Linked DNA regions of Rattus norvegicus. The protein of the gene in region 1 interacts with the protein of each later gene in a biochemical or structural test. Links are inferred from orthologs where the notes say so. Each region holds a gene or a part of one and is shown on either strand. Other genes may lie near its edges.

Region 1 (15,830 bases):
ATACACACACCTTTATATATGAGTCCTTATGCACAAGCATGAGCAACAGGCGCACACACACACACACACACACACACACACACACACACACACAGAAACAGGATACCTTAAAAAGCTGAATTAGACTAAAAAATGGTTCAGCAATTAAAGCATCTCCCAGAAGACCCAAATTGTGTTCTCAGTACTCATATCAGACAGCTTATAACCACTTGTATGTAACTCCAGTTCCAAGGGATCCAAAATCCTTTTCTGGCCTTCATGAGTACCCTCATACATATGATATGTCATCACTCACATAGATATATACAAACTCATACATAAAAACAAATCCTCTTTTTAAAGTAAAATTACTGTACCTAGTTTTTAAAAATATTTTAAATAGGAACTGGGGAGATGACTTGTGGTTAACAACACTTGTTGCTTTTAAGAAGACCTGAGTTCAATTCCCAGCACCCACCTGTTGGCTCACAACCATCTGTAAACCCAGTTCCTAAAGATCTAACTAGCAACATGGTATACATACATGCAGGAGGGCAAAGCAGTCATATATAAAATAAAGCTTAAAGAGATTAATACTTTAACTATATCAAGCTTAAATTTTTAAAGACAATAGTACAGTATGCACATGACCAAACCCAAGGTACCACGATAAAAAAAAATAAATCCCTAGTTTTAGGTTTCAAAAAAGCCAGTACAGCCTACACCATCGAACACGTAAGTAAATATGATTGGGTAGTGTATTAGTAGCACAGTGGTAGAGTGCTTGCCTAGCATGCACAAAGCCTTTGGTTCAATTCCCAGGACTGCAAAAACAAGCAAACAAAAGTATAGGGAATTGTATGGTTTTTTTCAAAGGATTTTAAAAGAATTTGTGTTTGATAAGTAGAAAACTAAGCAAATTGAGAAAATAAGAATGTAATTATAAATTCTACTTAAAGTTATACAGAAAAATAGGTTAAATAATAGTACTATTTGGCAGCTAAATTATAATAATGTAAGCATAGATGGGCAGTGGATGTATATGCTCTTAATCACAGACCTTGGAAGGCAGAGGCTCGCAGATCTCTGTAAGTTCAAGGCCAGCCTGGACTACAGAGTGAGTTCTAATACAGCTGGGCTAAACAGAAACCCTGTCTCACAAAACCCAGAAAAAAAATTATTTAGTTAACTAATTAAATTAATTAATCATATAAGCACAGAAGACTGATTAATTTTAAAACATGAAGGCTGGGTGTGGTGGCAGACATCTTTAATCCTAGCATTCAGGACCAGAGGCAGGAAAATCTCTGTGAGTTTATAGCCAGACTGTCTCTAGAGCGTTCCAAAGCCAGCTAAGAATACACAGGGAGACCCTGTCTCAAAAATAAAATAAAGGGGTTGGGGATTTAGCTCAGTGGTTAGAGCGCTTGCCTAGGAGGCGCAAGGCCCTGGGTTCGGTCCCCAGCTCCGAAAAAAAAAAAAAAAAGAACCAAAAATAAATAAATAAATAAATAAATAAATAAATAAATAAATAAATAAAATAAATAAATAAAATAAAAATAAAAAAATAAAATGTTGAGGCTGGATGGAGTGGCTCACACCTATAACCATAGCATTCTGAAGTAGAGAAAGGAAGAGCAGGAGTTTAAGGTCATCCTTGGCTACACAACCTAGGTTCCAGAAGCCCTGCCTCTAAATAAATAAACAAATAAACAAACATAAAAATAAGGGGGTATCTGCCTAGGAAGCGCAAGGCCCTGGGTTCGATCCCCAGCTCCGAAAAAAAGAACCAAAAAAAAAAAAAAAAAAATAAGGGGGTATCAAGATGTCCTAGCAGATGGGAAAACTCACCACAAACACCGACGACCTGGATTTAATCTGTGAAACCCATAGGGGGACCTATTCCCACAGGCTGTCCCTCTGACCTCCAGGCATGTACCACCCCTCCAAAAATAAGCAAATAAATAAATGAGAAAATAAACTACCAAGTAAGTAAATACATTAATAATATAAACTGTGATATTACGCACTGTGAACTGGGACAGAAGGGGAGCATACTGGGATGGTATAGGAAAATGAATTGCTCAAACCACCACACCGCTTATTAGACAACACCTAAAATTGATAGAAGTAGCAACAGTAAGAGATGATACAGTAGAGAAGCATGAGTCAGAAGGCAGACAACCTACATTCACCCATGTAGTCGGGTGAGGTTGGGCAGTGAGCTCTGCCTCAGAATCCTTATCTGTCCAAAGGAGACTGTAGTAAACCTTGCTTGATAAGGGTTGTTGATGCTTAGAAGATGGCTGCAAAGCATTCAAAACACTACCTAGAGCATAGTAGGTATTATCCAAATACTACGGATTAGTAGGAGTTGCAACAATAAAGTAGTTTTATTATTTTGAGATGTAAAGATAAACACCATGGCAGGGCAGGGTGGCATGTGCCTTTAATCCTACCTAGCACACGGAAGTCAGGGGCCGATGAATCTCTTAAGTTTGAGGCCAGCCTGGTCTACAGAGCTAATTCCAGGACAGCCATGGCTACATAGCAAAGTCTCGGAAAATAAACAGACAAATAAATAAATGAAATAAATAAAATAAACACCAGAGAAATAGGTAAAAGTGGGAAGAGAGATTTATGGATGGAATAGGTCTGAAATTATTTTCCCCCAAATTATAATTTGACTATGAATATTGATTATTTATTTTTAAATTACAATTTACCTGGGCTGGTCTGGAACCTAACTTTGTAGACCAGACTAGCTTCAAATTATGGCAAGCCTCCTGCCCCAGGCTTCTCAGTTGGGATCAATATAGCCATCATATCAGGAAGCAACTTGAAATTAATTTTTAAAAAAAGGAAGAAAAAAAAAATTCGCTTCTCCTCTGAAACACAGAACCCATAAGCACAGCTATAGTTTACGCTGCTGGAATGACAGGGATCTCGAAGCCCAGAGGCAGTGTTCCCTCACTTCCCAAGAACAGTTACAGGGCTCCAGCTGCGGCCTGCGGGCTGACTCTGCATTCTCAGACCTGGAAACTAAACTGGGAGAAAAAGCCTAAGTGAATTTTTAAAAAAAGAAGAGGAAGAGGAGGAAAGAAGAAAGAGGGAGAGGAGGAGGAAGAAGAGGAGGAGAAGGAGGAGGTTGAAGAAGAGGAGGGGTCGGCGGTGGCGCTGAACACCTTTGATCCAAGCAAGCCCTCAGGAGACAGAGGCAGATGGAGCTCTGTGAATTAGAGGCCAACCCTGTCTACAGAGTGAGTTCCAGGACAGCTAGGGCTACAGAGAAACCCTGTCTCAAAAAAACAAGACAAAGGGAAGAAGAAGAAGAAAGAAAAGGAAACTGTCCAAGACTGTATGTAACTCAACACCAAATGAGTGGCACACCATGCACAGGGCAGAGCTCTATGGGCCAAGGCTGCCAAGAAAGCTTTATGCCGAGCCAAGCAGTGACACCTACCTGGGATCCCAGTACTGAGAAGCTGAGGTGGGAAAACCACCAGTTCACTGATGACACAGACTACATAAAAGGATTCTGTCTTGAAAAACAAAACAAGACAAGGAAACAAAGAGGGAGGGGACATCTGGAGAGATGACTCGGCTGATAAGGTGCTTGTTAACTCTTCTGGAGGATCTGCACTCAGTGTTAGCACCCACATTAGGAGACACAAAACCACCTGTAACTCCACTGCTGGGGAATCCAATGACCTCTTCAGACCCCTATAGTGTCAGCACATGTGGTACACACACACACACACACAGAGTAAAATTGTTTTAAGGAAAAGAAAAGGGAAATGAGAAACCGAATGGAAGTGGTGTGTGGAAGCTGAGAAGGCTTTAAACAGGCTATGTGGAGAGCCTAGGGCACCCCCACTCTGTGGGAGTGAGGTCTGAGTATCAGGAGGAAAGTGTTCAGGGCAGCTTAAGGAGCTGGCCTTTATCCTACAGCCAGGACTACTCCATTAGTCGCTCACTCAGTAAAACAGATTAGGAAATCCATTTACAAACCTAGCTCTGTTCTAATCTACTTTCAGGATCACAAGTTCAAGGCTAGCCTGCGGCCATGTGGCATGACTTTATCTTAAAACAAACAAGAAACCTAGGTTCCGGAACTGAGTCCTACTGCATCCACTCATCAGTTGTGACTCAAGCTAAACTACTAAATTTCCCCATACCTCCATTTACTTAGGTGTAACCCCAGGAAAAAGGCTATTATTGTCCAGTGTTGCTATGAAAATTGACTACATGTATTTGCAACCCTCAGCATCATGCGTAATAGGGTCCCTACCCTCAACAAACAGGATTGTAGGAAACAACGAAGAGGACCAACAACCTCATTTCTTCAAAAAGTAAATTCAAAGGTGAGAGAAAAATGACACATTAAGTCTCAGGAGACCATATGAATGTGTAAACCTTGTTTGGATCCTAATTTAAATAAGATATATCATGCACACATACATATACTCTCTCTCTCTCTCTCTCTCTCTCTCTCTCTCTCTCTCTCACACACACACACACACACAGAGAGAGAGAGAGAGAGAGAGAGAGAGAGAGAAACACAGAGATAGAAAAGAAGAGAAATGGACATATTTAAATACCAATTGCATTTTTCATTAAAGAAAAATGATTAACTTTTTAGGTCTGATGCTGATATTTTTAAGAGTATCACTTAGAGATACATAATAAAATATTTATGGATTAGAGTATGTGGATCTTGGATTTGTTTTAAAATCATGTGACATGGGGTGATACAAATAACTTAAGACTGCCCAGATATGGAAGAATGTGCCAGAATCGCGGCACTTGGGAGGCTAAGACAGGATGATTCCAAGTTCAAGGCCAGAATTTACTACCTAATGAGGCCCGGTCTCACCAGAAATAAAGAAAAAAAGGCTTAGCATTTATGCTGGGTAAGGAATGTACTCAGATTTACTACTCTTCTGCTTTCAAAAATGTTTGATTTTCCCTAATGATAAACTTAAACAGTGTCCACTATGCTGGGGCATGCCTTTAGTCATGGAATTGAAGGGGCAGGTGGATCTCTGTTAAGTTTGAAGCCAGCCTGGTCTACATAGGGAGTTTCAGACCAGCCAGGGCTGGAAAGTGAGGTCCCTGTCTCATAGGTAAATAAATAAATAAGAAAATAAAACCAACAGTATTGAGTTTTCCATAGCTATTATGCTTATTAGTGTTTTACTTTTTTAAACTAAATAAATGTATTTATTTATGTATATAAGTGCTCTATTTGCATGTCTGACTGCATGCCAAAAGAGGGCATCAGATCTCATTACAGATGGTTGTGAGTCACCATGTGAGTGCTAGGAATTGAACTCAGGTCCTCTGGAAAAACAGCCAGTGCTTTTAACCACTGAGACATCTGTCTAAGCCAATACCTTTATTATTTTTCACTAATGTACCCTGGAGTGTTAGCAAGGCTTGTGGCTCATTTTTGTTAGCCATTCTCCAGCATCCCAACCCTGAGTCTTCTGCCTACAATAAATACAAGCTCCGTGTTAACCTGGTCTGATTAGGGGTGATGTAGCTTATAAGCAGAAAGTCGAGTATCATGTACAAAGGACAGGATTCAATTCTTAGTATCATTAAACAAAAATATTCAAAAAGAATCATGTCAAATCATTCCTATAGGAACAAAACCACTGATTTAATGCATAGCTGTTTACTTCAAATACAAACAGAACAAAAACAGGGTCTCACTAAATAATGTAGGCTGGCCCTGAACTAATAACTTTCTTGCTTCTACCTAAGTGCCAGGATTACAGATGGGAGGCGCCTCAGGCCTTAAGCTTTAAAAAGGCCCCCACCCATCTCCTCAGGCTCTCACTCTCCTGTTTATTTCTGGATGGTGTTTCTGGTACTCCTCAGAGAAGTCATGTTCCACCCTAGCACAGCCCTTTAGCACACACTGTCCCTCCTACTCAAGTTCCTCCCTCTCCTTCCAGCCATCTTTCAGACCTCAACTCAATCTCTACCACTGCACTTAAGACCAGCCCTGCCCCAAGGCTGGATAACTCTTCCAAGTCCACACGCAGTTGTGGACTTCTTCACAGGGCTTTGCAAGGTAGAATATTAAAACTTTGTCATTTTCTCTCACCATCGTATCCCTCATACGTAGCCTGACTGGGATAGAACAAATGACTAGCAGGCATTCACTGAACAAACGAATGAATGAATGAATTCACCGACGCCTCCATGAAGGGCCCAGCCTCCCAGTGATTGACAACCCCATCCTGCCCTCACCAGTCGTCACCCACGTTGAAGGCATTAAGGCTCTTGGTGAAACCCTGCATATTGGTGGGGCTGACTCTCTGCAGGAAGTCAATGTAGTCCTCAGAATGGAAGCGGCACATGTCATGCTGGGAGGCCTGGTAAGGCTTGAAGACCTGGGGGAGACAAATAGGAAGCTGTTACCTGAGAACTGCCTAGGTGCTAGCTCAGCCCCAGAAGGGTGGGTGATGAACTAGGTAAGACCTTACTTAATTATAATCCCACCTAAATGCTGAAGGGCATTCCCAATACCACAACAGGTGACAACTGCCATGGAAACAAGTGGAAACCAAAAAAGGAAAGGGGTTGGTTTCTGAATTCTCAGAAATTTTCTGCTCAGTCTCAGAAAACACACAGACACACACACACAGACACACACACACACACACACACACACACACACACGGCTTTTCTTTATCATCAGTCTCTCTCCCTCATTTTTTACCCTGTATCTATAAATTCTTTTCTAATTAAAATTTTTCCTATATTAAAGTCAGGGTGTCAGTTCTCTGCTTTGGTCATTGGAGGTTCAGAGTTCAGACTTGGGCCATCATCCGCCTCAGAGGCAGGCACCTTCACCCACTGAACCATCACTGCAACCCGACTGATAGCTATAACCTGTTGATCTGTGTGAGCTGAGATGTTATCTCCTGAGAACAAAAGTCCGTTTCACTGCTCCTTTAACACATGGTCTTGTTACTGGCTCCACACAATGCCAGGAAGGGAAAAAAAAAAAAGATTCAGTTTGGAAGTTTGGACAAAGAAACCTGGCAACAGGCTAGGCAATGCTATGCCAGTCACCAGGCTGAAACCACTCACAGGGATCCCAGCCCTGGACACTGTCCAAAGCAATCTTCCTGCCCCCCTATTCCTTCTTCTACAGCAACTCGATGAGTGAAAAAAAAGGCTACCTGCTAGGCAAGCTACTTTTATCAAGATCCCTGAAGAGCACTTCATCTCCCTCTTCCCTTCAGCCCAGTCAGTCTCATCTACCTTCTTGGCCTTGGCTCCCAGCCTACTTGCTCTGGTCCTAGTTCCTGCTCTTCCAGGCCTGGTTCCTTCTGCACTTATCTCTTCTCCTAAACTCTGATTCTGCTCTGTTCTCTGGGTTTTTCACTGTGGGGTAAAATATGTGAGCTATATGACAACCTAACTGAAACCCGATGTCCTAACCAAAGATTTATTATCCTTGGGGAAGGGGGGCAAGATGGAGGTTCAAACAATACTTTGAAAATTGGGCAAAAAAAAACAAACGCTTTTTTTTTCTCTTCTAGAAAACGCATAAAAGACCACACAGACTTATACTAACATCACCTCAGTCTTTCCCACTCCCAAACATTCTGCCTGTACCTCAACACACTGATTATATGTTGACTACCTTCCTGGTGCACCAGGGTCAGGCTTGCTATTTTCCCATTTCACAGTTCTAAGCTGCGGAGAAACAGTACCTGCATAACTGAATTGAACCGTAAAGACAGATATAATCTACGTTAAAAAGCAAAGCCCCAAGATATCTCTACACACATACACCACAAAGGGTGCAGAGTTGTTCTAGCTCCTAGCAGGTAAATGGGCAGAGGAGAAGGAGCAGGGATTATGGGCAAAATAGACTCCCACCTCTCACCACTGTCTACCTTACAATGCAGACTAGAAATGTACTGCAGTAACAGAGCACTCACCTAGCATATGTAAAGCTCTGGGTTTGACCCAACAACACATACATAAAATGAAGTGGTGATGGAACATACCTGTCTTTAAAATGTCCCCTAATGCTAGGCCAAAGACTGGTCTGCCCTCAAGTTAAAAGAGAATCCCACCTAAGGTCAAAAACGTATCTCCTTTTAAGTCTGGGGTGTCACTACCACCACCACCACTGCCCTGCACATAGGGAATGTTTCCGGTGCCTTCTCCCCTTCTCCCCCTCCTCTAGACGTAGGTTGCACCTGGTAAGTCCAGCCCACCTAGTCTAAGGCCGCTGCTCGCTCCCAGGCCCAAACCCCTACAGAAGTGTCAAGACTCACGATCATCTTCTTATAGAGACCATAATGCAGGACTAGGCTATGAGTCAATGCCAGGCGATGGGGTTTCATCGGGTGTCCAGCTCCTGAGGGTGGGAAGAAAAGAGTTGGTCGGTCCCTACCCCTAGAGTTGCAGCCCTTGCCGCAAAACCTCTCCTCCCGCACAATCCTGAGCCCTACCGTAGTGGAAGTTGCCCACATCGGGGTCGTAGAAATACGCCACGGTCTTGGCCATGGTGCTGGGGGACCAGGCCCCGACTCAGCCGCCCGCCCGCCGCCGGACGCCAGCCCCACCCCCGCCGTGCGTGCTGCGCAAGCACGCCGCCTACCTCTGCAGAACTGGAGCCCTCGGCCCCGCCTCCCAAGGCTAGGCTTTGGCCACGCCCCCTTGGGGAGTTCCGCCCCTCATTATGCTGCCCTGGTCCGGTTTCCGAGGCTTGAGACTTGGAACCTGGACGGGGACCCGTGGCATCATTCAGAGAATAAAATAGCCGCTTCTTTCGGGGCGAGGGTCATATCCTCAGTAAACCGAGCCATTCCGTCCAGCTGTTACCCTCAAACGGGTCTTGGGGTCGTGATTTCTCTCTAGGAACCTCGGAAGATCTGGCAACACTGCCCTTCTCTGGTGCAGAAAGCCAAATTTCCCCCAGTGAACTAGGAAGATTGCTGGCTTTCCCAGTCGTCTGGGTAATCTGAGGGCAGGACCTGTACTAGACGTGAGGGCTAGACTGGTGGCCAAAGCCTCTCCTGACCTCCCGACCCTCGCTCGACTCGCGCTGCACATTCCCTCCGGGGGGGGGGAGGAAGGGCGGTGCAGTCACGCGCACATCTCACTTGCGTTCACACACGCGTAAGGCTCACATACTCCGCCCCGCACACCTGCGCTCCGCCCCTTGGTCCCAGGCCCGCAACGCGAGTAGGCATTTGGGAACCCAGGACGGTTTCGGAGGTGCCCCCATCCCCGCCCCCATCCCCTCCATTTCCCTGGCCGGAGTGGTCCGGAGCCTGTCGCGGTTCCCAACTGGCCCACATCATTCCCTCCCCCCGTCTGCCGCGGCACCGGTATCCGCAGCCACCAGCCCGGAACCGGTGAGGCGGCAAAGGGGGGAGGGGGAAGAAGCAAGGGATGAGCTCCGGGAGGGCGTCGGGGGCCCTGAGCCGGACGAGGACGCCCCTGGAGCCGGGACCCGAGCCGGAGCCGGAGCCGGAGACAGAACCAAACCACCGGTACCGGGTGAGCCAGGTGGTCGGGGTGGGAGGAACCGAAAAAGAAGGGATCCCGGAATGCAAGTGTTGGGGGGGGGGGGTGCATGATGCCTGGCTCAGGCCAGTGTAGAGGAGGTGTAGACACTGACTCAAGCGAGATGTCTGGGCTCGCTGCCTAAGAATTTCGCCCCATCTCGTGCTGCAGTGTCCTTGGGAGGGACGGAGGCGTGGAATGAGCTGTAAAAGATAGCGGTCTAGATATCAGAGAAGTGGGACCGGTCGTGGCAGAGGGCCTGCATAGCTGCCATCTGGCCTCCAACATTTGGAGATCTTGGCCGACCAGCACCCTTAGTCCGGACAGCTCCTTGGTTGGGTAGGGGGTGGGGCGGGCCTCCTATTTCGAATCCTAAGACGCCTTCCTACTCTGCCCGGTCCCCAGCTGCAGCCCACTAAACCCAGGAGGCGCCCTGGCCCGCGCTCGCCCCCCAGGGCCTCATGTCGGAACCACAGCCTGGCCTGGAGCCGCCCCAACATGGGCTGTACATGCTCTTCCTGCTTGTGCTGGTCTTCTTCCTCATGGGCCTTGTAGGCTTCATGATCTGCCACGTGCTCAAGAAGAAAGGCTACCGCTGTCGCACATCTAGGGGCTCAGAGCCTGATGATGCCCAGCTCCAGCCCCGTGAGTGAGGAGCCTAGAGCCCTGATTAAGTCTCCCTTACCCTTCTCCCCAAACTTTTTTCTGCCTCCCTGGCCACAGACCCAGCCCAAATCCTGATGAAGTCCAAAAGATAGCTTATGATGCATTTTTGAGTCTGCATGTAGAGTGGCTCCACCCTGAATCAGAGGCTAGAGAAAGGGGTCCACTCATGGTAGCACCAGAAACCCATTTCTTCTCCTACTTTTTCTGGCCTGATGCATTAAGGCACATAGCTATGTAAAGGGATATGTCTTGAGCTATATCGTCCATGAGGCCATCAGGTCATGATACCCCAAAGCTGACTCATTTCCCGCTTCCTTGCCAACTTCTTTCATCCTTCAGCTGAAGACGATGACGTGAATGAGGACACAGTAGAGCGGATTGTTCGCTGCATCATCCAAAATGAAGGTGGGTATAGGCCAACAGCTTACTCCTTCCTAAACTGACTTTCTCTTGCCCTGACCTCTACCTCCATTGACTCCCTCTTCTCCCTCTCCATCAGCCAATGCTGAGGCCTTGAAGGAGATGCTAGGGGACAGTGAAGGAGAAGGGACGGTACAGCTCTCCAGGTGAGCTGGAGACAAGGGCCAGCATGACTTAGCTTACCTTGGAGTGCTGTCTCCTCTAATACAGTCTTTCCAAGCACCATGGGAAGTTTGGTAGTGGTAGTGGGGTAAGGTGAACAAGGCTAACTGACCTATGAAAGAAGTTCTGTAGGAATCTTTTATCCTTCAGTGTCTCCCATCTAGACACCATCCAGCCTAGCATACACCTCTGGTGTCACTTCCTTTGGTTAAGCATTGGTCTCTTTAGTAAACAGGAAGAACACATGACTATTTGGGACTTAACAGTGAATTTATTAAAGACAAAGGGATGTTGGAACCTGGGGAAGGTGGGGTTTGTGGAGGTTTAAAGAGCATATTGAAAGAACAGGAGGAACCAGGAAGGAAATTGAAAATATTGTTTCTGCTCCCTTCCCTCCTGTGGACCAGTGTGGATGCCACCTCCAGCCTGCAGGATGGAGCCCCTTCTCATCATCACACAGTACACCTTGGCTCTGCAGCTCCTTGCATCCACTGCAGCCGCAGCAAGAGGCCCCCACTTGTCCGCCAGGGTCGCTCTAAGGAAGGAAAAGGCCGCCCAAGACCTGGAGAGACCACTGTATTCTCAGTGGGCAGGTGGGGATATAGTGGTCCAAGAAAAGAGGTTAAATTGGGGCCCCGATAATCCTGTCCCCCAAGGTGGGGCCCAGCTCTTTCTTTGAACAACTGGGCGACTACAGCAAGGGTCAGGCTGCACAGTGTCCCACAGTCTCAGAAGGCTTCCCTACCCCAGGTCACAGAAACTGCCATCAAACCCAGGGAGGGAGGTTTAGGGAGCCTCTGAGCTGCAGGCCTGAGTTGCAATGTTCTCTTCCCACCCAGATTCCGAGTGACACACATTGAGAAGCGCTATGGCCTTCATGAACACCGTGATGGTTCCCCTACAGACAGAAGCTGGGGCTCTGGTGGAGGACAGGAACCAGGGGTTAGTCAGGTGGCTGGAGGGCAGCCTAGGACAGGGACAGCTGCCATTGAGAGGCTGCTCCCTGAGCCACCACCCTCCCAGGCCGCAGCCACCCACCCAGTGCAGAATGGAAGACTCAAGGATGCCAGCCTAGTCCCTTGTACACTTGAGGGGACCCCTGGTACCTCTGCAGAACTGAACGTGGGCACTAGAGGGACAGGCCCAAGCCCAGGGCTGCCTAGTCAAGAAGCAAATGGACAGCCAACCAAACTGGACACCTCAGGTCAGCAGGTATGAAGACATGGTCAGGGCTGCGCTGGGCAGTGGTGGACACATCTTACGGTTCCTACTCTGGGCAACATGGATATGATCCACCTCCTGTTCCCACTGAATACCTCCCCTTCTCTCAGGACTCTCTACCACCAGAAGCAGGGGGTATGTGAGGCGAGTCTCCCTGAGCTCGAGATCAGGTAATCTCACCCTCCCACCCTGTGTCTAAACTACTCGAGTCCACCAACTCCCTGAACCCTGGGGGTGAACTATATGTTTAGTGTGTGGGGAGTGGGCACAGATGTCCTCCAGGAGTTAAATAAGTGGCTGGAGCACAGAACTTGACTAGGAAGCAACACTCTTTTCCTTTCTTTCTTCCAAGCCTCAGTCTTCACTGTGCTGATGGATTACCAGCAGGCATTGCCAGGGGACAGCCAGCCAGGAAGACTCTCCCCTCCGCTGGCCAGCTCTGCCGCTCAGCTGAGGGACCAGCTCTACTTCATCTGGAGATGGTCCTGACTGAGGGACCTCAGGAGGAGCCCCTCGCACTTCCTGGCCCCTCATCTTTTCCCTTTCCCCACCTGCCAACAGGTTGCCTGGCCTGCCTTCCCCAAAACCTCGCTCCACATGCTAGAGCGTGGCAGCTGGGACCAGGCCCTACCCTCGGTGGGCCCCTAAAGCAATAGCACCTTAGGCTCCCTGCCGTCTTGGCACAAGAGGCCCAAGCCCTGTCTTGGACTTCATACCCTTTATTCACTGTCAATAAATCCGCTCAGACCATTACAGTTGCTTTGCATCCTGGCTCAGCTCCTTCTGACTTCCAAAGTCCTCTCCTGGCCCCAGGCCTACTGACCCTGACATTCAGGGTGGGGTTGACCACAGAGGCCGGGTGAAGACACAGATGAGCCAGAGCCATGCAAGGCTTTGGGAGATGGGTTCCAGCCCCGAAGATTTTGTGGTGTTTTACCACCTTAGATATGGGGTGATAGCACAAAGTCAAAGGGGTACTTCCAGAAATGGCAGGAGAACAATACGGGGAGGGTGTGGGTTCAAATCCCAGAAATGGGAACAGGGTAAATTTCTACCCCCGGAGGTGAGAATGGACATCGGGGAAGACTGCAGCTTTTGCTTATGTCGCTCCAGACCATTGAGGGGGTGGCTTCTGTCAGCATGGAGTCAGGGGCAGCAGCATCACCGAAGGGCAGTGACTCCTGGCCTTCAAGTGAGAGGATCGGGATGACCAGGATCCGGGGCTTTGGCTGGTGGGGGAGGTGGTGGACGCATCTGCAGGGGACATGCATAATCAGTGCTCCGGAATCTGTCTTAGGAATAGCCCTGTCCATTACTTCAGCCCAGCAAACAAAATAAGGCCATAGGAATGACCCAAGTCAGGGCACCTTACCGGCCTGAGTCGAGGCACCATCATGTCTAGGGGTCCAGGGCAGTCTATGACTTTGTCTAGAAATAGAAACCAAAAGTCAATTCTCAAGCTTTGATGGGCTCCATACTGCATCTCCAGCACTTAGGGTAGTGATACTTTATAAATACTTGTTGACTTAGCCAAAAGAAAAAAAAATCACCAGCCTGAGCTATAAAATCCATTAGTCCATCCATTCTCAACAAATACTTAATGCACAATTGCCTTGTACAAAGTACCCAAGAAACGGGGTGGAGTGCAAATTCTCTATTGAGAATCCCGTAATATCACACACAGACACACAGAGACAGAGAGACAGGGAGACAGAGGCAGAGAGACGGAGACAGAGAGGGAATGCCCAAGTACTAAATTATTCAAGTGCAAAAGGAATGCTAGAAGAGATGGTGGTGGCCCTGGACTCAGGGAGGGTGACTGAGAAGGTGGGCATACTAGAATATCTTAGAAAGGCTGAGTATTTGATGGTGGGAAATAGGGACTGGGTCTGTGGACATAAGTTAGTGGTAGATATGTGTGCCTAGCATGAACACGATCCTAGTTTGATCCCCAGCACCCACAAGAAAATAACCCAATAGATAAGCATCGTAATAGATAAGAGGAAACAGCCCCAAGATGAGTACTGTATTTCAGTACTGAAGGACACTAAGAGGAAAACACACTTTGGGAGGCTATAAGAATGCAGAGAGAAAAGGTAGCAAACTTCAAAAACACTAATGATCTAAAACAGCCATGTTTACTGTATGCTAGCACAGTGCTGTACACTTTTTTTTTTCTTTTTTTTTTTTTTTGGAGCTGGGGACCGAACCCAGGGCCTTGTGCTTCCTAGGCAAGCACTCTACCACTGAGCTAAATCCCCAACCCCAGTGCTGTACACTCTTAACAGATATCTTGGATAACTTTCTTCCTTCTCTACCACGCCTACCAGTGTTTTACCAGCATGTATGTCTACATGCTGCATGCATGCCTGGTGCCCACTATAGTCAGGAGAGGGAGTCAGATCTCGTGGGATTAGAGTTACTGAGGACTGTGAGCTGCCATGTGGGTGCCAGGAATCAAACACAGGTCCTCTGCAAGAGCAGCAAGTGCTCTTAACCACTGAGCCATCACCCTAGGCCCTAATAATAAATAAAGCAATGCCTTTCCCTTCACTTTATAAAGAATGTAAACCAAGCTAGGCTGGTGCCTCATACTTCTAATGCCAACATGTTGGGGAGCCTGGGGCAGAAAGAGCGCTAGTTCAAGGTTAGCCCTAACTCCAAAGACTAAAGAACAACAACACAAAACATAGACCAAGGGCCAGACAAGTTAAGCCTCCCACCTCAAGTCACACAGCAGAAGGTGACATAGGAGCATGGACCTGGCTCTGAATGCAAGCTCTCCTCCCCATCAGTGTGCCATGGGCCTTACTGCAAGTACACGAGGGCACACAGGCAGGGGAAGGGAGAGTCTAGGCCTCTTCCTGACCACTCCTATGCTCCCCAGGTTCTGCCTTTGTCTACTCACCAGAAGGCAGAGCAGGTGCAGGGGATCTGTCCAAGGCACAGGTGGGTGCAGGAGGGGAGAAGCTGGGAGGAGAAGGGGATGGCAGCATCTGGAGACAGGGTAGGCGTACAGTCATTTCTGGTCTGTGGGAGGGCTTACAATATTTCTTCTCGCCACACTCTCAGTTTCCCTCCCATTTCTTCTCAATACCAAAAGCAGCCAAATGAGGGTTATAACTGGTGCATATTTCAACAGCCAATATGTACTGAATAGTTATTATGTGTCAAGTATTCTGCTAACATTGCACATACACAGATCTATTCAACCTTTACCACCACCCTGGGAGCTACATCTTTTGAGGACTGCTACAGTAGAAGTGAGATTCAGTTTGAGTCATCCGTCAGAATCACAGTCACTTAGTGGCAGAGTACTAACTAGAACTGGGGTGTTCTGACTCCCCTATACAATCCCTGCGGTGTCATGACAAGGCAACTGAGATGGCTCAGTGGTTAAGAGCACTGACTGCTCTTTCAGAGGTCCTGAATTCAATTCCCAGCACCCACATGGCAGCTCACAATATAATGGGGTCCAATGTCCTCTTCTTGTGTGCCAAGGAGCTAAGGAATGTACCTCTATGATCCCTAGTCATGACAGAGAACCTGTTAAAACAGCTAGTTTTTATTTTACTTGTACAGAAGGCAGCTCAGAGAAAAGTAACTACCCAAGCTCATACTATAGCAATTTGCACCCGGGCCTATCTGGCCCTAAAGTTCCCAGATGCCTATGAAGGGTGCCTTAGTTTCTCTTTTCTCTTCCCAGCCAAAGCATACAGAGAAGCCTAAGCCACCATCGGACGCAAACCTGGGGAGGAAACAGGGCTTTAATATCAAAAGGAAGCATGCTGAGGTGAAAAGGTCAACCCAGAAGTACTGGGAACAGAGAGAAAATG
Region 2 (15,830 bases), on another chromosome or scaffold:
GGCAGTAAGCGTTCCATGTACGTTCCACGTAGCAGAATGAACGCAGTGCTCACTAAGTGAGCAAAAGGACACAGAACACATTGAAGACGTAGGGAAAGCTCACACAAGAGACGACTAAATTAGTCACTGAAGGGTCATGCATTTTTACTGGCCTGAGGCAGAAAGCAAAAAGCTCGAGGAAGAGGGCTGGAGAGGACGCTCAGAGGGTAAGAGCGATGGCTGCTTTTCCAGACGACCTGAGCTGGATTCCCGACACCCCCGTGGTAGCTCGCAATTGGCTGTAACTCCAGTTCCGGGGACCCAACACCCCCTCTGGTCTCTGTAGGCATGAAGCATGCACACGGTACACAGGCATAGATGCAGACGACGTAGCCACATAAATTATAGAACATCAAATGTCAAAAGTGTTAGGATAGTCCCCTTACTACTTCAGAGTTAAGAACCTTGGTCACAACCGAACACATCCGCTAGCCCCCACCTCTTCATCCTTTCCACACAAATGGTATAATTAACAGAACCTCCTAGCTTATTAAACTGTGGGTCTCTACCCCCCATTCAAAATTATGCAGTGGCCAACACAGGAGTCAGCACATACCTGGCAACAGTAAAAGGACTTTTAAATGTGTAATGACCAAAATTCAATTCGGAATCAAATACCCAGTAAATCCAAGGTGTCACTGACAGCACAGGTCCATCCGTCCACGTTGTATGGAACCATGCCACTGAGATTTTATTTTTCTTTTTTAAATTTTATTTAATATATGAGTCTTCTGTTGCATATACATCCTCAGGCCAGAAGAGGGCATCAGATCTCATTACAGATGGTTGTGAGCCACCATGTGGTTGCTGGGAATTGAACTCAGGACTTTGGAAGGGCAGGCAGCTCTTAACCACTGAGCCATCTTACCAGCTCTCACTGAAATCTTTTTGTAAAACACAGAACGTGTGCATTTTGACATGACTGTGTATACTGTCATAACACAGGACACCATGGACTCTGCCTGACACATGTCAGCTTAGACTACTGAGTGCCATGAATTTCCTTCCCCCCATATAAATGTTTCTGTTTTTACAGAAACATAATGGTATAATTACATAAAACCATAATGTAATTATTTGTAATTATAAAAAAATTTTCAAATATTTTCCTACCATCTTTCGATAGCATCTAATTATCAAATTAGTACTGAGGTAGTTTGGAGAATGGCCCCTATAGGCTCCTATGTTTGAATACTTGGTCCCCAGTTGGTGGAGTTGTTTGGAAAGATTAGCAGATGTGATCTTGTTGGAGGAGGTGTGTCTCTGGGGAAGGTTTTGAGGTTTCAAAAGCTCATGCAATTTCCAGTTAGGTCTTGTGTGCGCACTCTCCCTCTCTCTCTGCCTTCTGGTTGCTGTCTGTCTTAGTCAGGGCTCTCTAGTCAGAGAACTTATGGGTGGGCTCTACACAGTAAGGGAATTTGTAGTCCAATTCCCCAACTATGCTCAGCAGCAGATGTGAATGGAAGTCCGAGGATCCAGCAGTTGCTCAGTCCCACAAGGCAAGCGGGCAAAGCAGAGAGAATCTTCCTTCTTCCAGTGTCCTTACGTAGGTCTCCAGCAGAAGGTGTGGCCCAGACTAAAGGTGTGTACCACTACGCCTGGATCTGGGACTTGCTCTGTCCCAGGTGACCTTGAACTCAGATCTCCTTGCCTTAGTCTCCAGGGATTCATGGCCACTTTGCCTCAAGATCTCCATGCCAAGATCCAGGTCAGAAACTGTGTCTCCCAGCCTCAAGATCAGGATCAATTCCAGATTGTAGTTCATTCCAGATGTAGTCAAGCTGACAACCAGGAATAGCCACAACACTGTCTTAACATGTAAACTTCCAGTCACTACCCCAGTATCGGATGGTCATAGACGTTAGCTCCCTGAAACTGTGAACCCCCAGATTACATACTGTTATAAATTGCCTTGGCCATGGTTGTCACGGCAATAGGAAAATAGGATGAATACATTACTGGATTGTATTAATTATTGCATAATTTTCTGGAGAGATGGTTCAGCAGTTACCAACATGTACTGTTTTTGCAGAAGACTAGGGTTCAGCTCCCAGCACTCATATCAGGTAGCTCAAAACCTTCTGTAACTCCAGAGATCTGACACCTTCTGGTCAGACACCTGCACTTAAGTGTATTCCCCTCAACATATACACATATGACTAATTTTTTTATTGTAATTAAGTATGCATGTATAGGTTTTTCAAGACATGGTTTCTCTGTGTAGCCATGACTGTTCTGGAATTCCCTTTGTAGGTCAGGCTGGCTTTGACCTCAGAGAACTCTACCTACCTCTGCCTCCACCCTGTGTGCTGGGATTAAAGGAGCATCCATCATACTCGTACAATATATTTTGTTCATAATTTCCCTCTCCCAATGCCTCTCCACTTCCCTACCCACCTAATTTTATACTCTTTCTTCTCTTTCTTTAAAACAAAGAAGAAAACAAGAAACATACATACACACAAAAGACCCTCCCACCCCCCAAAAAACCCGCAAAAACAGAAATAAAAATAAGTAGCGAAAGGGCAGGAAGACAGAAAGTGCCCAGGCGACAGAAAAATGTCACTGAGTTCATGTTGTGTTGGGCGTGGCACCAGCCTGGAGGTGAGACTCCACTGGAGACGGGAATTTACCACAGATAACATCTTGTTCAGGGGTGGGAATCTGTGAGCGCTCCCTGCTCAGTGCTGGGACCAATCTGTTTTGAGCCTGCACAGGCCTTGTGCTTGGTGACCGGTCCCTTGAGCAACATTCCTCAACCATCACTGCTCTCTCTCTCTCTCTCTCTCTCTCTCTCTCTCTCTCTCTCTCTCTCTCTCTGTGTGTGTGTGTGTGTGTGTGTTTTAAATTATTTATTTTGATTTTTAGAGACAGGGTTTCTCTGTGTAATCCTGACCATCCAGGAACTTGCTTTGTAGACCAGGCTGGCTACACACTCAGAGATCCCCCTGCCTCTGACTCCCAAATGCTGGGATTAAAGGCGTCACCACCACTGCCCAGCTATAAACAGCATTTTAAAAAGTTAAGCACAAGTGTAATTTCATAAACTAAAGCTAGCGTTTATTATAAGCAATATTCACTTGTTTCGAGGACAACACTGTTTCTCAGTTATGGATCACTGTTTTTTTTAACAAAATCTCAATCATTTGATTTTACCAATGAAGGCTCGGGAGCCAGATGCTTGGTTGAAAGCCCGTTGGATCAGAGGCAGAGAAAGCAGCCAGCTGACCTCGGCTGATATCCCAACAGCAATGCCCCTCTCCCAAGCTGTCTCAAAAAACCTCCTTCAACTGAATGTCCCTCCCTTCTACTTCCTGTGCGTCTCTTTATCCGTCCTCCTGACTCTTACTAAATTTTTTCCTTAGTGATCCTATGTCCACTTCCTGTCAACTGATTGCTTGCTCTGCCTCTCGACCTATGGTTGGAGTTATTTAGCCCCGTTTATAATATTCCAGCAGAATGCTCTTGAATTAAAGGTATGCATGCTAGGGCTGAGCCACACTCAACTAAAAACAGGTTTTTCCAGTAAATAACACAATCTCAGGGTTCATGGTGTGATCCAGTATCTTCCAACAAGGGATAATTGTCTAACTCTTTCCAGGCGGGTTACAGAACAACCAAACTGATGAGAAAAAAAATTAAGTCAAATCGTCTTTGCAATATAGATTTATTTCTAATAATCATGATGATGTGAAAATAAATAAATAAAAAAGCCCCTTGGCTTGATATTTACTGAGGCTTTGGCTATTAGAGAACATGAAAGGGGCTGAGTTGACACCGTAATAAGCAGGCAGCACACTGCAATGAACCAAAAAAGTATTTCTTTTTTTTTTTTTTTTTTTGGTTCTTTTTTTGGAGCTGGGGACCGAACCCAGGGCCTTGCGCTTCCTAGGCCAGCGCTCTAACCACTGAGCTAAATCCCCAACCCCCAAAAAAGTATTTCTTAAATATTCCTAAAACTGTCCAACGGAAGGGGAGAGAAAGCTCCGGACACTTCTTGCCATCAGCGGAAAACGTTCATTTGTATCCTACAAAGATTCCCATTTAACTGCAAAACCTGTGTGTGTGTGTACACGTACAGGGGGTGTGTGGTCTGTTACAACGACCAGGCCAGTGATGGATTTCCTAAGATTTCCTCATTGAAGGGCGCTCCTTCTGACAGAAGTTCCAGAATTGATGTGGCCACTTCTATCCCTTTATTGGCAGGTTTAAGGGAAGTAATTCAGCAAGATGCCCCAACTAGCATTCTGTCGCAGTACAGGTGGCGTATTTGAAAATCTGCTTTGTTGCCCTGGGGGGCGGGGCACATAATCTGGGAAGGTATTAATCTTAACATCAATGTTTTTCTTTTAAACAAATGCAGGTTCACAGCTAAAAGGTCTCATTAAGTTTCTGCGTAGACGTTGACGGGGGAAATTATATGAGAGGATGTTGACTTGTGACAGAATTTAAAGTTCTGTAGAAACAAAAGTCCCTTTACTCAATGAATGATCCGTCGGGAGGCACCTGTGGCCAGAAAGTCTCAAGAGAGTTGTGCTTGGCAGGACGGAAGCTGTGCTCTGCCCTCGGTTTTCCTACCCTGGCAAACAGACTCAGCTCACGGAGCCCCTCAGCGTGCAGAGGTGGCTAAGACAATAAGTGCTTTTGAGTGATGCTAACAACTGTTCGACCTTTGACTCCCCTCATGTTGGAGAGTTTTAAGAAACATGCAAAATACTCTCTTGGTTTATTGCAGTGTGTTTGAAGGCTACTGAAATTATAGGATGACGTTGTATCTTGGTGGGACAGAAATCTGATTTGATTAGGTTTTTTTTTCCCATAATGACTTATGGCTCTCAAAATTGCTTTTTGTCAGGTATTTTTTGAAGTATTCAATGATTTAAACATATTGCTTCAAGGAAGTAACTGTAATATATTTATGTTAAAAGGTAAAATTGAAAGTTTTACTAAAATAATAGCTACCGTGGAAAAACAGGGTGAAAACCGGTTCTTTGGAGGTGTTTACAGTAGAGATGACTTTATAATTGAAAATGACTTCCTTAGGCAGAAAAGATGGCTCAAGGGTTAAGAGCCTAAATTCTGTTCCTCTACCCATATGGTGGCTCTCTATACCATGTAACTCCAGTTACAGAGGATCTCAAAACCTCCTCTGGCCCCCGACGGCACAGTACTCTTGTGGTAGACAGATATACATGCGGGCAAAACACCCACCCAGAAAGTCACAAGTTCATGTTCCTTTACACCAAATACTATCCATTAAATATCAAGGTTTACAAAGCCTGCAGTCAGTCCAAGGAATTCCCTACTTAGGAATCCCAGAGGCGAACTTTTAGCAGTTTATCACACTAAACAGAAACCAGCTTCTGCAGCACACATCTTTTCTACCACACTTGTTCTACCTGACCTCTGAGACCCAGCTCAAATTCCATTCTACCCACCATTTCTGAATGATCCGCTGTATACTGTATGCAGCAAGAGTTAGCTGGGATTTAAGGACTGACTTCCATGGTTTCTATTAATTCTTAAAACTTTCCAACAGAGGCCCATTTTTCTAGAGATGGTTTTTAAAGGTTTGTGGGTGTGTACACACACACACACACACACACACACACACACACACACGATCTTATAGTGAGTGCTATATGTTTGAATTACACACTTCATCACACCCACAGTAGATATTCAGGCTTTGTTGCCTTGAATCAATCCCCTTCAAGACCCTTTTCTTTCCTTTTTAAAGATTATTTATTATATATAAGTACACTGTAGCTATCTGCAGACACACCAGAAGAGGGCATCAGATCTCATTAAGATGGTTGTGAGCCACCATGTGGTTGCTGGGATTTGAACTCAGGACCACTGGAAGAGCAGTCAGAACTACTGAGCCATCTCTCCAGCCCCCTTTAAAACCTTTCAACTGAAAGCGTTACACAGAATAATGAAATCGGTTACATTTATTGTCGCCATATGTTTTGTTTGTGATGGATGCAAGTATCAAGTATCTTCTTTAATCAGTGGAAGCAACATTAAGACAGCTTTTGAAAGCAGAGTTAGGAGGCTACAAGGGAACAGTACAGAAGCTCTAACCTGGAAACAGGAATTCTGGTCACTGCCACCCTTTGACTATAGGTCTCTGGAACTACGCAAGTAGAAAAATTACATTGTATCCAAAGATTCAAGATGCACACCAAAAGGTTACTGGACATATTGATACAAAGGACATAGTACCTTTCCTTTATCTTCCATACGTCTTCTGGGGTTTGGATACATGGTTTCCAAGCCAGTCTCGCCAAGAACTCCAGGTGACCTTTGCTGCTTTAGCCTCCTGAGTACTGGGATTATAGGGTTTGCGTCACCAGCCTGGCTCCTTCCTACAGGTCATCCAGCCTCTGTTCTTTCTCAATATCAAATGGTCCACAATAAACTCCCACTTTTCTCACCTTCCTCGAATCTCCTCTAATGTACTTGAATTTCTGCCCTCCAAACTACAACTCCCAGGACACCCTCCCTGAACAATTTTCCTTTTCATCTTTGCTGTGTGATTAGAACAGATCAATAATCTCTTTCCAAATTTACTAAAGTGGATACATAAAGTTTAAAGACAATTTCCCAACCGGGTAAACACACAGACACTTTTAAAAACAAAGAAAAACCCCTCCCTCGAAGTCTAAGACATACTAACAACTTTAAGCCGGTGAGAAAAGCCCCAAACGGATTTAACTTCAAGTCTAAATTGCTTGTCCTTCCCAGCTTAGGCTGACTGACCCTGCTTAACTCAGGGGTAGGGGACAACCTGGTAATATCTGCACATCGGGAGACATTATCTGAAGAAACTGGTGGCAGGGCTCCTAACAAAAGAGCTAGTGGAAGCTTTGATGTGCCCAGTGCATGAGATAGCCCTAGGCCACCTTCCCTCAAAGATACAGCCGCAGCAGATGCTGGTCCTCTTCGGGCAAGCAGGATCCTAAGCGGGCGGAGGTGTCATCCCGCAACCCAAGGGTACATGGCCCCTCGGGTCCCGCGCCCCGCAGCTCCCTCCCCTGCACCTACCACGCGCGCAGCCCCGGGGCGGGGGAAGCGGCGCCGATACGGAAGCGTTCCCTGTGGGTGAAAGGTCACCGTCCCCGCCCGGCCTCCCGCGGCATTGAGCTGTCCGCTACCACCCGGCACTCGGGTAACCGGGAGCTGGGACACTTGGGGACACGGGCGCTCGGGCCACGACGCTTGGCGGTTGGGCCGCCCAGCACCCGACTTACCCCTCCCGCCGTGGCGGCCGCTGGGCTGGAGAGAGCAGAGGCGAGGGGACCCGAGGCCAAGGGGACAGGAGAGCTTTCTGGGTTTGTGTATTTGGGGGTGGGGGTCAGAGTTCGTGACCCCACCCTCGGCTTGGCGGTGCGCGGTGCTCTTGGCGCCTGCGCATTAGCGCGGTGGAGAAGCGGCCGGCCGTGGTGACGTTCCCTGGGCGAAGCCGAGGGCCCGGGAGTCCAGCGGCGGTTCTGTTAGTCGATTGCCCCCTGCAGGTGTGGAGGGAGACCGCCGCCGCCGCCGCCGCTGCGTGTCCACCCGATGTCTTGTGTGAAGAGCGTCTAGTTCTTCCAAAACCTGCAACTCTGGTGCCAGGGCCTCTGCGGGCTCGTGATCCCAAGTGCACATACCCAAACACACGTAATTAGAAGTCAAAGACACCCGAGGGCTAGTGAGATGGCTCAATGGTTAAGAATACTTGTGGCTCCTCCAGAGAACACGGTTTGATTCCCAGTACCCACATGGTCTTCTGAAACTTCAGTTCTACTGGATTTGGTGCCCTCTTCTGGTGCACAAACATGTGCAGGTCGAACACCCTATACTAAAAAAAGTAAAACTTTTTTCTCTTTTTTAAAAAAGATGTGTTTACTTATAATACACTGTAGCTGTCTTCAGACCTACCAGAAGAGGGCATCAGATCTCATTAAGATGGTTGTGAGCCACCATGTGGGTGCTGGAATTTGAACTCAGGACCTCTGGAAGAGCAGTCAGTGCTCTTAACCACTGAGCCATCTCTCCAGCCCCAAAGTAGAACTACTGAAAGAAAAAAAAAAGGAAGGAAGGAAGGCCTGAAGAAAAGACAAGTCTTTTGGAACAGGGCCTGTTGAAACCCAGACTGGTCTTTTAACTCGTGATTCTCCTGCCTCCCTCTCTGGTGCTATAAGATTTTTTAAAAATCCCTTTATATGGGTGTTTTACATGCATATATGCCTGGTACACTGCAGGTGCGCCTGGTTCAGGTGGAGGCCATCAGATCTTCTGGATCTGAAGTCACAGATGGTTTTTTAGTGGCCACATGGGTGCTTGGAATTTAACCTCTACAAGAGCAGCCAATGCGCTTTTAACAGCTGAGCCATCTCTCCTGCCCCTTAAAGGAAGTTTTGATTTGAGAAATAATAAACAACCTAATTGGTCTGGACTTCATTATGGGCACTCTCTTAGATTAGGTCACCAGAGCTAAAGAGTCTGCAGAGGGGTAACAGGACCCAGGAAAGAACACCCTGACCCTGACTTAACCCAAGTGTAAGACCTTGTCCCAGAGTCTGATCACAGAGGATTGGATCGCACCAATCCTCAAGCTTTTGCCAACATCAGGCCACATAATTCTCCAACTGCAGGCCACCCTGAAAAGCCCCACACCCCAAGAAACCCTATATAAAGCCCATTTTCTGCTTAGTTCCCTGAAGTGTCTCAAAGAGGCAGACATCGTCCTTGGTTTTTCCTTCCCAGTAAATCTTGAGTGAGGTTTGTTGTGTGGTGTGGATGTGACTTTGTAGTGTTCCTTGGCGCACAGCTGGCAGGCTGTACCATATTTGAAGAACCTTTCCCGTGCCAGAGCAGAGCTATAACACAGTCTGTGTAGACCCCAATCACATAGAACTTCCCAGCAATACAAGAACAGGCTCAGGCAAAATGGAGTCAAATTTTACCTGGCTGCTTTCAGAGCAAGGCCACAACCACTACCGTGACCTTATGTTCCTTTTGTCCATTTTGCTGGACGATGTGTCCCCAGATAGTTAACAGTTCCCGCTGGTCAATAAAGATCTGCAAAACGAAAGGTCACTACCAGAACATCACATTCTGACAGTGGTCACCTGTGGCTGGAAACTCTGGTCACATGTTAGGTACTGTGTGGTTCAGACTTTGAGGTGATCTGGAACTTTTCTTTGCATCGAGATTAAACACTGTAGAAAAGCAGCCCGGTCCAAGGCAGAAACTGAAGTTAGGGGTTGGGGTGGGGAAACTTTTTTTTTTGTGCTAGGTAGAATAGTTGTCCCTTAAGGTCCCATTGCCTCATGCCTATAACCTTAGCACTTGGGAAGTAAAGCAGGAGGAACAGGAGCTCGGTCAGTTTGAAGCTAGCCTGGGCTGCATCTCTAAGAAAACATTGCCATTTCTCTTTGGAGTTGAGTATTTAGACCTAGAAGGAGGACTTGCAACAGCCTCCCCTAGCAGTTAGAACTGTTTCACACTTAGTTCTCTGAAAGTCTGCCTCTGCCTTTTAGTACTGCTTGGTTTGCCCGTAACGCAGCCTTTCCAATAACCTCAAGCTGGGCCCAGAGGTGAACACGATGAAAGCCAGGTTGGAGGGAACAGGGGAACTCACTACGTTTTCCTTATTCTCGACTCAATACACATGCCCAAAGGCACGCTGTGGTTACCAGGGTGACCACTCACCTCCAGTTCATGAACTTAAGTCACAAGATGCTGACGTCTTAAAATCGGGCGCAGTGGTTGATGCTTGAAATACTAGTACTCGGTAGGCCCAGGCAGGGAGATTGTTATGAATATTTGGCGAGCCTGTCTCAAAGGCAACCATATGAATAAATCAGTCCTGGAAACAGAAGCGGCTTTTAGAGGATTGCTCCAGGTGACGTGTCTCTCTTGGTCACACTCTAGAATAAGGGGCCAGTGAGGTTCATCTTAAAGGTAAGGCTTGGAAGACTTTGTCAGAGGGGGTCTGGGGGTCACATGCCCATAATCACAGTTGCTAAGGAGGATGAGGTGGAGAGTCTGAACGCTGAGGGCCACCCTGGACTGCACGGCATCAACACATGAGCACAACCCCAAACGTCTAATAACGAACTCCACACCAGCAGTAGATATCACAGTGCATTTATTTTGTATGAATTATAATACATATTAACATTATTTACAATGCTATTTTATTTATAAAATTTCTTATGAACAGTAAGATACAAACCATGATCACTTTATGTTTAAAAAAAGTGTTTTGAGAATTAAAAGTGATTAATTTCTTTTCTGAAATTGGTTCTTACATGCAGCAAATAACTCCATGAAAGAGAAAAACAAAATACTTTGATATTTAGTCTTTTAAAAGCTCCCACCACCTTTAAACTTATTTTCCTAGCAGGCAAATTCCCATCAGAACCACTGCTGTCTTTGCTGTTTCCTTTCTTAAAATTCCTTCCCAGTAGTAACTGACTTTTCCTGTAAGAGAAAACACTATGGATTTGCATTTAGAAAGTAAAATTAAAAGTGACGTACACTCCAGAGCATGGGTACCGAAGATACTTTTTTGGGACCCATTGAAGATATTTAACTCAGCAGGCAAACATTTATTCACTGCACGGAAGACAGTTGTTGGATGTGGGCGACCTCCAGTGAACAAGGTAAAATGTTTTCAAGGACAGAATTTGGTAAGAAGGACAACACTGTTTAGTGATCACAGGAAGCCAAGGAAGAGAGCTCGGATAGTCTAACAGAGAGGAGAACAGGACCCTATCACTGGGAAGTGTCACAGAACAATGGGCAGAGCTGGGCTGACTGATATGAGGACAATGGGAATGGTAGGAACAGAAAAAGGCTGAAGCCAGCCAAACCACTCAGAATGCCCTGAAGCTCACAGGAATAGCAACTAAATCAGAATTCTGCTGTACGCAGATTGCTTTGATATGTCTAAAGGAGACTACACAAAAGGGGGTTAAAACCAAGAAGAAAAAAAAAAGCTAGTTGCTTTCCTGGATAAGGGCTTGAATCCGGGGCCTCATCCATGGTAGCAAGTGTGTGCCACTGTGGCTCAGAGGGAAAGGCGTGGCACCCATAAGGGGCAGAAGAATGAAGACGGTAAGGACAAGAGAGACTCAGTCAGGTTCCAGAGTCCAGGTGGAGTCCTGAAGGAAACAGGCAGGGAGAAAGCTGAGCCCTAGTCTTGCCATGACTGTGGGCTTGCAGGACGGTGAGGAACGTGGGCCTATGACCTGGGTTGGAAGGGCTTTGGAGACTACGTCAGTGGTAGCTGACTGAGTTAGGCAGGGTGACACCCTGAGGGGGAGGCAGCAGGAGCTGTCTTGGGAAAAACAGTGAGATTCTTACTCAAGGCAAAACACCTTGGGAATTCTGCCTTCAATGTATTCAACTAAAGCTGCGAAGATCCCTTAGAAACGCACAGATTATATATGGTGTCTATCCTTAAGGATCCAGGAGTACACTGAGGTAGGATTTGCTTATGGAAATTCCAGCATTTTGACTATAATGAGCCCAGCGGAAGGGCATTTAAGGCATAACCGCACATGGTGATGACACTATGTTCTCACATAGGAGGCTCCTCCATTCCTACATAGCCTCTACGTATCCGGCAGACAAAAACATACTTCTGAGTTGTTTCCTTCAGTGCCATTCCATTGTTATAAATCAAAGCGGGATGTCGGACAGCGTTTAAAAAAACATCAGTCTGTACTCAGAGTCATGCTTCTTACTGGGGAAAAAACAAGGGCCGTCAGGGAAAACAGACCGAGACTGGTTACATCAGAAAACAGAAAGAGGTTCAGAAACAGGATAATGTGACCAATGTTCCTTTTCCTTCTCTTAGGAATTGGGGGGCGCGGTGGGGTGCCATCCTCTATTTTAGCTGCTGCAGACAGAGGAGGAATACTGTTGGGGACACTGAGAATGTCCCCTCTCCCAGCTCAGCCTGCCATCTTGTCTCCGTTACTTTCTGGCTTAGGGTAGGAGACACCGGAGCCGGGGTCTGGTGGCAGCACACGCATGTGTAATGAGCAGCATTCCGGGATCCAGGAGAGAGATGTTCTCCACATCTAGACTGCCCCGGCACCATTTGTCCATAAATGTTAGCAATGGGGCAAGCTCAGGGGTAGAGTATCTGCATTGAGTCCCTGGGTTCAGTGATATTTTTTTAAAGTAGTTTTACAACAAATTATAAATATGTTCTTATCAAATGCCATTGAATGAGCCATGTTAAATACATGGTTGGCAGTCCTTAGTGGTTTATGAAGGGATCAGGGGACAGGGAACACAATCTTACATTTAGAATGTCTTACGGGAGGGGTCACGATCTGAGAGCTCATATGCTGCCTTTTGCAAAGTTCTTCATAAGACTAAGCAAATATAATCACACACGGATTTCTACACCTCTCTCTCTCTCTCTCTCTCTCTCTCTCTCTCTCTCTGTATGTGTGTACAGATTTTGAATACTTTCTTGATTCTGTTGTGTGTTAGAAAACAGAAGACCTAGTTAATGTTTCTTAGACTTTTTTGAGGCTTACAAGAAAGAACATTTTAACGAGGTTGAGAATTCAACACAAAAGATAGAAATATAAAGTAAAAGGAGTCCTGTCTCCAAAAAGAGTGCATTACAAACGTTACGCGGATGCTCATGTGGGATCCAATTAAAATATGTTCCGAAGAACTAATTTGCTTCCTGTGGCCAGGAAGGTAGCATGTAGCATTCTGTGAAACTGTACGGGGCTTCAAACTGTGCTGTAGCCAGCGACATCCAAGAAAACCTGGACCTGCTACATCTAGGTCTATTTAATCTGCAGCGAATGGCATCCAAAAGGCCTTGTGATGGTGTTCAGGATAAAAACAAAATAGTATTCAGATTATAATTCTCTACTACTGACATCGCACTAAGAACCATGATGAGGCAGAAAATTCTTATAGCCTTTAATAGGATATTTTCTGTATAACCCTGCCTTGTAGCTGACAGTTTAAACTCAGTCAACAAAATATTTAAACACTGACACAATTTTAAGCATAACTTCCTTCTCCTGCTGCTTATCAACACATGCAAGAGGGTGTGCGTGTTAAACAGTAAGTATGCCAGAATTAGGAATGCAGACCTTTCCTATCGAGGGACGCTGACTGATAAGGTCCGTGTGGTAGCACACATCTAAATAGGATGTGAGGCAGGGCGGTGAGCATCAGGCCGGCCTGGGCTGCACTGAAGGACTGTGTCTCAAGACAGAGGGAGGGAGAAGGGTGGGAGGGAGGGAAGGAAGAAGAGGAGGAGGAAGAGAAGGAGGAGGAGGAATAGGAAGAAGAAAAAGAAAAAAAGATGACATTTAAAATGTTAAGGGGAACAAATCAAAGTAGCATAAAATTTCCTTTAAAAATAGTTGTTTTAGATCACTTGTAAAGTACATGTTACAGAAAATGTGACATCCTTTTAGATATAAATACCACCACTGACTTGGCATCAAAACTCTTAAAAATAATAGAGGGTATTAGGTAACATGTTACCTGCCATAGTCTGTGTCTTAAAACATTAATCACTGAGCTTAGTGGCACACACATGTAATTCTAGCAGTTGAGAAGCGTGAGTCACAGGCTGGCATGGGTTACACAAGTTCCAGGCCAACGTGAGTGTCTGTCACTCCCATTGGCACTGAACTGGCAGTTTTCGATGAAGGCTGGGCATGGAGGGGCAGGACTGTGACTCCAGTTACTTAGAGGCTGAGGCAGGAAGGCTGTGTGCGGCTCAAGCTTTGCCTAAGCTACACAGTTAGTTCGAGGCCAGCCTGGCCATTGGCGAGCCCTTATGGGGTGTGGGAGTTTGGGGGGCTGTGGACAAAGTTGTCAGTACTGACCCTGCTGGGATTTCATTTCACAGTTACTGAGGTAGAAGCTGCCTCTGTGCCTCACTACTGCAATATAAAAAAAATCCCACCTAGGCTTAGCAACTCAACAATACGCATTTCATCAGAGATTTTAAAACTGTAATTTCTACACCAAGCATTGCATGGACACTTGTGTCTTAAGCCCTGTGCTTTACTCGTAAAGATTTACCAACAGTGAAAGCGTCATGGTGTAAGGCAGAGACAACAGTGTGGACGGCACGTCGGCGACAGTATGCAGGATACAGTATTACGGTAAGTTCCCGGTCTCTAAACAGTACTTCAGAATTCAGTGTGAGTCTTGGAAACAGCTCTAACCAACGAGTAAACATCAACATTTTAATAAATAACAAACATGAAAGACATTTTTAGGAACTGTATATACCTAACAAAACACTCTATCTCACAACGACGGTGGGTGGACTTGTCTTGGCAGTGTTCGTTTTCACACGGCTTTTGAGTAGCTTTTATGCCATTCTCCACCTTGTTGGAACCTCAGAGGCAGTGCAGTCAGTGTGGCTATAATACTGTGCCCTCCTGAAATGCGTCTATCCACCTGGTGATGAGAGACAGCTGTTAGGCCTGAGAATTCAGCTGTGTGACACCTGTGAGTGTGTCACTTAGGACCTCTGCTACAGTACACGGGAGTTCTTACACACAGTTAGCTAACCTTTACTTGGTAATCTAAGCCAATGTTTCCCCCGGAGAGTGCTTTCTTTGTGACATTACTAGCTCATGTGTGAATGTTCTAACATGTCCTAGAATCAGTGAGAAGGCACAGTAGGTAAAGATGCTTGCCACCAAGCATGACAACCCGAGTTTAGGGTCCCTGGGACCTACTTGGTGGAAGTTGGAAACTTGCTCCTGCAGACTATCCTCTTGCCCCCACACTAACGCCATTTTGGAACACACACACAGTAAAGGAATGTTAAGCATTTGTGTATGTGTGTGTTTGAATGTGTGTGTATGTATATACGAGTGTGTGTTTGAGTATGTGTGTATATGTGTGTATGTATATGTGTGTGTTGAGTATGTGTGTATATGTACATGTGTGTATGTATATGTGTGTTGAGTATGCCTGTATATGTACATGTGTGTGAATAAGTGTGTATATGTGTGTGTATGTACATGTGTGTGAGTATGTATGTATATGTGTGTGTTGAGTATGTGTGTATATGTGTGTCTGAGTGTGTGTTGAGTATATGTGTGTATATATATATGCCTGAGTATGTGTGTGTGTGTGTATGAATATGTGAGTGTATGTATGTATATGTGAGTGTGTGCTTGAGTGTGTGCGTGTGCATGTACATGTGTGTATTTACTTGCCTATGGAAGAGGTATGCCAACAAAGGCCCTTATTACAACTCCTTTTCTCTCTCTCAGGTGTCCTGACTCAGTGAGTTTTGGAAACTAGCTATGGTTTTGTTTTTCCTCTCAATTCTACCAACCAAAACTCCCTTGTAAATCCCTTAAAACAAACTTGTTCTACATTTCTCAATGAAAGGGAACTGATCTGGCATTTGGTCAACTATAAGATAAAAAATTTACATACAACATAATTTCCAAAATTTCCTAGAAGTCATCAGAAATCCTTCAGTCTAAAAGCCTCGTCTGGTAGCGCACAGCTGCAGTTACTGAGAAGACCCTCGGGCTGTGCCCATTTGTGTCTGGACTGCCTGGGCCCTACTCCACCCCACGCTTACTGATATATGGCTTTTACAGTAACACATTACAGAAGAACGACCGGAGTGAGCTATGGTCATCTGAAACCACTAAATCTAAGAACGGCTTACAACATTCAGCTCAAATGTCAAGGACAGGGTTTCCAAAACAACACATTTTAGGTGCCAATCGCTTATGTTATGCTATAATAGAATGCTTTTAGGAAAT

The links.
Region 2: the proteins of Hdac3 (region 1) and Nr2c1 form a complex in vitro, tested with the Homo sapiens proteins (4 studies listed by BioGRID). The link is inferred for Rattus norvegicus from reciprocal best matches to the Homo sapiens genes HDAC3 and NR2C1.

What each region holds. Positions count from the first base shown.
Region 1 is NC_086036.1:30,032,442-30,048,271, forward strand, and holds the start of Hdac3 (histone deacetylase 3), read right to left. Parts: upstream 8,585-15,830; 5' UTR 8,521-8,584; coding exon 8,466-8,520; intron 8,372-8,465; coding exon 8,289-8,371; intron 6,384-8,288; coding exon 6,241-6,383; intron 1-6,240. Other genes in the region: Rell2 (RELT-like protein 2), read left to right, coding at 9,987-10,170, 10,531-10,596, 10,691-10,757, 11,181-11,366, 11,613-11,985, 12,105-12,137; Fchsd1 (F-BAR and double SH3 domains protein 1), read right to left, coding at 13,183-13,248, 13,367-13,422, 14,903-14,990. UniProt on the Homo sapiens protein: Histone deacetylase that catalyzes the deacetylation of lysine residues on the N-terminal part of the core histones (H2A, H2B, H3 and H4), and some other non-histone substrates.
Region 2 is NC_086025.1:30,594,232-30,610,061, reverse strand, and holds the start of Nr2c1 (nuclear receptor subfamily 2 group C member 1), read right to left. Parts: upstream 7,456-15,830; 5' UTR 7,296-7,455; intron 7,269-7,295; exon of another isoform or gene 6,833-7,268; intron 6,372-6,832; exon of another isoform or gene 6,268-6,371; intron 1-6,267. Other genes in the region: Fgd6 (FYVE, RhoGEF and PH domain-containing protein 6), read right to left, coding at 14,460-14,496. UniProt on the Homo sapiens protein: Orphan nuclear receptor. Binds the IR7 element in the promoter of its own gene in an autoregulatory negative feedback mechanism. Primarily repressor of a broad range of genes.